Daphnia pulex: one gene and its partner. The protein of the gene in region 1 purifies or fractionates together with the protein of each later gene. This does not show direct contact. Links are inferred from orthologs where the notes say so. Each region holds a gene or a part of one and is shown in the gene's direction. Other genes may lie near its edges. The genes, in order: protein BCCIP homolog and eukaryotic translation initiation factor 6-like.

What was found.
Region 2: the proteins of protein BCCIP homolog (region 1) and eukaryotic translation initiation factor 6-like purify together in Homo sapiens (affinity purification with mass spectrometry; 3 studies listed by BioGRID and IntAct, counting the BioPlex papers as one, with this or other methods). This does not show direct contact. The link is inferred for Daphnia pulex from reciprocal best matches to the Homo sapiens genes BCCIP and EIF6.

What each region holds. Positions count from the first base shown.
Region 1 is NC_060019.1:10,135,339-10,138,755, forward strand, and holds protein BCCIP homolog, read left to right. Parts: upstream 1-1,517; 5' UTR 1,518-1,683; coding exon 1,684-1,968; intron 1,969-2,028; coding exon 2,029-2,127; intron 2,128-2,201; coding exon 2,202-2,365; intron 2,366-2,423; coding exon 2,424-2,595; intron 2,596-2,656; coding exon 2,657-2,824; 3' UTR 2,825-2,845; downstream 2,846-3,417. Other genes in the region: nuclear pore complex protein Nup107-like, read right to left, coding at 1-73, 133-478, 538-1,317; SRR1-like protein, read right to left, coding at 3,295-3,417. UniProt on the Homo sapiens protein: During interphase, required for microtubule organizing and anchoring activities. During mitosis, required for the organization and stabilization of the spindle pole.
Region 2 is NC_060025.1:5,263,358-5,266,715, reverse strand, and holds eukaryotic translation initiation factor 6-like, read left to right. Parts: upstream 1-1,237; 5' UTR 1,238-1,355; coding exon 1,356-1,462; intron 1,463-1,551; coding exon 1,552-1,637; intron 1,638-1,731; coding exon 1,732-1,856; intron 1,857-1,922; coding exon 1,923-2,150; intron 2,151-2,218; coding exon 2,219-2,403; intron 2,404-2,468; coding exon 2,469-2,478; 3' UTR 2,479-2,549; downstream 2,550-3,358. Other genes in the region: integrator complex subunit 4-like, read left to right, coding at 37-201, 266-410, 488-952. UniProt on the Homo sapiens protein: Binds to the 60S ribosomal subunit and prevents its association with the 40S ribosomal subunit to form the 80S initiation complex in the cytoplasm. Behaves as a stimulatory translation initiation factor downstream insulin/growth factors.

The sequences.
Region 1 (3,417 bases):
AACTGCACATTTTCGCACTCTTTCCAAGTCATCGTCTTCCATATGTCACGATAAGGATTTCCAGATGGCGACTCTACAGTTGAGATAAATATTTTTATCGAATCCATTGGTTTCTACAAATCTGGAAATTACCTTTCGTGTTGGCTACATCCGTGCGAGATTTCATGTTGGGATCATGAAACAGTTTCCATCCTTCCAAAATTGCAGCCCGAAATGGTTGACCTGCTCGGAAACAGAGCTGCTGGGCTTCATCCAGCTGTCCACAACGGAGTCGAGCAAATACAGAACGAAGCAAACGCATTTCATCTTCTTTGTCAAGTGGGTGAAGACGTCTGTTTTGTTCTCGGTTAGGAGCATCGGGATCCATTTGAGTAACCATATTTTGCTCGACGTTATCTGTACTAAGCCCTCGTTTTTTACTGACCAAAGAATGAAGAGTATTTTCCCAGCCGGCAACCGCATCTCCGTAAAACTCCACCTAATTAGAGTATAATATATTATTTAATAAAAGAAAATTTTAATTACATTAAAAAATACCTGGCTGTAATGGGAATCGTGATAGACATCAGCCGCTCGTTGTTCCAGCCAATCGACTACGAGCTGAGCCTGTCTGATTATGGCATTTTTGTCATAGAGTTGTTTTACCAAGTCATCTTCACTTGTAACATCATCCAATCCACTCCAGATTTCATCAGACTCCATTTCACTGTCATGAAATTCAGAGTTTAAACGATCTTGGTAGAGAGATGCAACCAATCTCCATGTGTCACGCTCAAGTCTCAGTTCTTGCTCCAATTCTTGTGCTTGTGATAGTTTGTTGTGTCCACGAGGGGCCATTTGAATCAATTTTCGCAAAGCAGATACTTGTTCTCCACATTCTGACTCATATTCTGCACACTGATTAAACACTTGATGTTCTGCCCCATATGACTGAAATGTTTTGAGGAATCTCTCAAATAGTTCTAAGACATTTTCTACTCCTGGAACTTCTTCTTCTAGAAGGATGCTCATGAGTTCTTCATTTCGTTTCTTTCGTGATACATTGCTCACTGTTAAGTCTGCTCTTGTCGAATCCAGATTTTTCCTTTGTAAACCAGCACCAATTCTCGTAAATGTAGGATCACTTTCGAAAATAGTGTGGCTAAGATCATCAGACATAAAAGACATTGTATTATGTCGGTTAGGAGAAGGGAGGCAACTGGCCCCCAACATGTCTGATGTCTTTTCGAGTGAGTGCTTTATTCTTCGACCAGGAAGATTTAGTTTGCCAGTAACAGTTGAGTTAGAACCGGCAATAATTGGAGATTGAAACTCCATTGTGCTTATTTTAAAAAGATACAATAAAATTCACTGTCTTATAAAGAAGAAGTTTGAAGGTTTGAAGTTTTCCGTTTTTCGTTTTATTGTAACGTAGCAGACTAAGTAAAAGGGCGTTGCAATTCACGTTCAAAGTTTTATTCATTAAAATAATTATAATTAATTGAAATTGAAATAGTAATGATTTGATTTTTATAATTGTTATAATATTTAATACAATTTTATTCTATTTTTTAACTCAATTTTTAAGATTTTATTTCAAACAATTTGAATGTTCACTTCACTTCCTTCCTACCCCTTCCTAGCAGACAAACTTAAGTTTGTTTTTGACTTTTTGACACGTGTGAAAAATTGTCTTTAAAAATCATGGCGAATTTCAATACTAAACGGCCTATGGAAGAAGATAGCAGCGATTCTTCAGAGGAAGAAGAAGAAGAAAATGATTCTCAAGATGAAGAAATGGGTGAAGATGAGCAACTTGGAGAGAACGACCGAGAGATTCAAGTCGACTTTGAAGGTCAATCACCAATCGCTGAAGATTTTCACGGTATCAAGAGTCTAATGCATCAGCTTTTCCTAAAGGCTCATATTAATTTAAGTGGTCTGACGGAACTCATCATTCAGCAAAACTACATTGGAAGTATATTACAGGTAATAAAATCTTGTGAAGATGTAATTTGTGTACTTTACTAAAGATATCTACTTCTTCAGCAATGTGTGGATAATGATGAACCTGATAGTGATGATGAAGGAAATTCTCTTGATGAAGTTTTTGGAATTACTTCTGTAATTAACTTGACACATCACAAGGTGAGATAAAATTTTGAATTTGTGTTACACAAATTACAATTAACCCAATTTTTTTTGTTATTTACTTTTCCTAGGATGTGGAATGTATTAAAGAAGTAAAAAAGTACCTGTTGGAAAAAACACAGAAGAAACTGAGTGGATTGTTTGATGATCCATCTAACCAGATAGGACTTATATTCAATGAAAGGTTCATAAACATACCACCTCAAGTTTCTGTTCCCCTACTGGAAAATCTATGGTATACAAGACTTAATTTGAATTATATCCCAAGTTTAAATGTAAAATTTTGTTAATAGTAAGGAGATTGATGAAGCAAAAAAATCTGGAAAGCCTTTTGACTTTACACACTTCATTTTAATTTCCAAACTTCATGAATCTACAAGAAAAGATCCTGAATCAAGGAAAAAAAAAGTCAAAGGAGGAGCCACCATATTATGGGTTAATGCAGAAGAAGAACCAATTTCAGAGGTATTCATCTATTAATTCCACGCCTAAGTAGAGTAGGTTGTAATAAAATTTCGTCAAATAGATGGGTGAAATATTAGGAGAATATTCTGTACGAAGCGAGTCAGATGCAGCAGTTTCCGGGACATGGGACGAAGATGACGAACAATTCGATCCGAAAAGAAGGATAGTCCTTATTACCGCAAAGCAGCTGCCTGAGGTGTTGATTAAAATTAAAGAATTCCTCGAATGAATAAAATTCATGTTTTCTGTTTGTTTTAGTTATTATTACCAATAACTTAAAAAATCTATTAATTGCATTTATTATTCCTTTCAACTACATCGGTATACACAATCTATTTGGGATCATGGGGTAATTTGAATCCAACCATGTCAGCCGTGCTACGCACTGTGCGTTCACCTGAAAGAGAAAAAAGGATTGATATTTTGTATACAACTTCGTTTTGAATAACTGTGTCAAACCTTGGCCGTGAAATTCTTGTATCAGCGATGCAGCCTTTCTTGAACTTTTCAAATAGCAAAGGTACGTATCAGCCATGTATTTACTTTCTTGTTGGGCTTTGCATGTTTGCTCAGCAGTGACCTGATTTCGGCGAAAATTCTTTGAGATAAATTGATATGCTGGCGATTCCCAGAGAGAATTATGACTATGGTTGGTTAGTCGGAGCTCGCGAATCAATTCTCTGAGCAAAGTTTTGGCGCTCATTTTTCACTAATTAGCTCAGTCTCAGCAGCAGGGTATGTAGGTTCAGGCGATTCCCAAAACGATGAATGAACACTGTAGATTAGTTCGCTGGGGAAATGGTGGAGACTAAGATCGTTGAA
Region 2 (3,358 bases), on another chromosome or scaffold:
AGGAGTAAACAAAATTTACTCATTTTCTCATTTTAGACTCCAGTACATGTTCAGTAATTTATCCACTGAAGAAATGCTACTCATTCAGAGCACACGTCTACAAGCTATGGCGATTCAGCTGGTATACATTGTAAGAGCTAGTAACACATCCGCGTTGGCTTTATCAGACCATTTCGTTTCCCGTGTCGAAGCATTGAAAGGGTAATTTCTTTTTCGTTTAACTTCGATTAAAAAAAATAAGATTTAATTAATCAAGTTGTTGTAGATATGGAAATTTACCTTCTTTTGCTGGAGCGATTGTGAAGGAAATTGCACGAGTAGATGATACTAAACCAGGTGTATTGTCGCGAATATTGCTTCCAATCCTTCAAGCTCATATTTATGTTGCCCCATTCTGCCTGCCTGCCAAGGTAATTTATTTAAATATATTTATGAAATATCAATGTACCTTACTTGGTAATATTTTCAATTTATTATTGCTTGTTAGGCTTTTAAATTGAGCGCTGACATTTTAGAACCGTCTGGTGAATCGGATAATCCGCAGAAGTTCCTGGCAGGCTTCGTATTGGGAGTGGTTTTAGACGCCGAAATTCAAGGACTTGCTCATTCAGAGTATTTGCGAGTCCGTGTGAAATATCCCGATCTTAATGCTCAGCTAATTATACCACAAGAGTCGCATCTGAAGATGATCAAACACTATCCTAAAAATGATTCGAGTGAGAATATTATTTCCGTTCCTGATCACCGTTTGCGAACATCTGTTTTGGTATCACATCAAGTGTGGACAGAATCATCGCATATTGAACTTTCTTTGGTTTTGGATGTTACTGATCCCGAGGTTCCTTCTGCTTTAAAAAGATGGCGAGGTTTCTCAGAAGACTCATTTATTATTGAACTATGTAAACCTGTACGAGTTCTTGTATCTCCTAAGCCAATCAAGCGAGGAATATGAATTTTAAATGTGAGATTGTTGGAACCATGAACGAAATTGTACGGAAAATACATATTACTACAATTAACTACTGAATTTGGTTTGTTCCTTCTATTCTCAAAATTGTCAGTGTCAATTCTTTCACCCTTTATTTAATTTTTAGGTATAGTACAAAATCAAGTAAGAATCGACAATCGAGCTTTGTGATTTTCAAAATGTTGTGCTTTTTTTTAAAAAAAATCCCCTACCGACAAAAACGTTTATATCGATAGTTACACAGTTCGTACATGTATCGATATTTAAGATCCGTCTCTCTTGCTTCTCGTACCCGCTCGTCCCACGTGTGAAACTAAGTGTTCGTCTATTACTTCTCTCACGCACATCGCTACTACTTTATCGTTTAGTTTGACGAAATACTTTCATCATGGCAGTTCGCGTTCAATTTGAAAATAACAATGAAGTCGGTGTTTTTGCAAAACTGACCAACGCTTATTGCTTGGTTGCCATCGGTGGATCAGAAAATTTCTACAGGTAAAATATACGTGTCATGCGTCTTTTTCTAAAAAATCTTCAATAGGATTTCTCGTGATTTATCATGCTGCATTTGATTCATGTTACAGTGTTTTCGAATCAGAGTTGTCTGACACTATTCCAGTAATTCACACATCAGTTGCTGGCTGCAGGATAATTGGACGGTTGACAGTTGGTGAGTTTTCCCTTCATACAAAAGTTGACAGTGGGTCTCTTGAAGATATTGAAAAATAAATTATGTTATTTTCGTAAATATTACTTTTCAACAGCTAACAGGCATGGTCTACTGCTGCCAAACAGTACTACAGATCAGGAATTGCAACATATTCGCAACTCTTTACCAGATTCTGTCAAAATCCAGCGTGTTGAAGAACGTCTGTCTGCTTTAGGAAATGTTAGTCAATCCCATTAGCCAATCAATTAATGAAGATTACTAATTCATCATTTGTGCATTTCACAGGTTATTGCATGCAATGATTATGTTGCATTGGTACATCCAGATTTAGATAAAGAAACAGAGGAAGTTCTTGCAGATACCTTAAATGTTGAAGTCTTCCGTCATACAATTGCTGGCTCTGTCCTTACTGGTTCATATTGCGCTTTTTCTAACCAGGGTGGTATTGTCCATCCAAAAACAACTGTGGCAGATCAAGATGAACTCAGCTCTCTTCTGCAGGTGCCTCTAGTGGTAAGCATTAGAACATGTAAAGAAGACAAAGTTCACATATAAACAATAAGGTGTTTTTCATTTTACAGGCAGGGACAGTTAACAGAGGTAGTGATGTAATTGGTGCCGGCTTAGTAGTGAATGATTGGTCGGCTTTTTGCGGATTCGACACCACAGCCACGGAGATTTCCGTTATTGAAAATGTTTTCCGTTTGAATGAAGCAAATCAACCCAGCGTCATTACCACAGACATGAGAGAGTCGCTAATTGAGACGTAAGACTAATTCTATATAATGTTTTTTATTGGAACAGTTGAATTAATTTTTTCAATTTTGATAGGCTGACATAATTCGGAAAAATTGCAAAAGGGATACCCAAAAATTATGTATCAGAACGGTTGAATAAACAAGTTTTGGAAAATGTCATTTTTATATTTACTGAAAATACCCACAAGTTCTTTTTTACTGTGCTGATGATGTAGCTACAGAAATAAGTTGATGTAGACTACAGAAATAAAAGTTGCATATTATTTGAAAATCTGTTGTAACTAGAAATATAACTGGTAAATTAATACAGGCTTTAAGTAGTTCCTAGTTTAAACAAATGAACTTTGCGTAATTGCTCGATATTGTTTATTTATAAGTACAATAATCCTAACCTTGATACAGGGTTAGAATGGAGCATTACCAAGATTGCTTAATTTGAAAATCAAATTCTAAGAATAACTTAAGCTTAAAAAAATACCAGAGTGAAATTATAATAGAACTTAAGTTTAGTGATGTACCGATTCGACGTGTAAAGAATCGGCTAGAGCGATAGCAGCACTGGTCATTGACTGACGGAAATCAGCGACCTTCGTTGCCATCGATTCAGCAAGGTCAAGCCAGGGAGGAGTATAGAGGAGAAAGCAGTTGCTATCTCTCAACAGGGAAAAACCCAAGCTTGACCTCCATGCGAGGTCGACCTGAAATACCACGGCGCCCCCCCCCCCCCCCCCCCCAACTGGCAGATGAGAAAGGCATTAAATAAATAGAAGAGTAAAGGGGGACGCGACAGTTGAGTTTTAGCCGTTGAAGTGGAAGTTACAGTGAGAGACCGAGCGACGTGGTTTGACCAGACCTTCCCTGTTCCCTTGACGCCTTGTTTGACCAGACCTTTCCTGAACGCCCTTGTTTGACCAGACCTTTCGACTGTATCTCCCAAGATGAGCGGAGCACAAGGGTAAATAA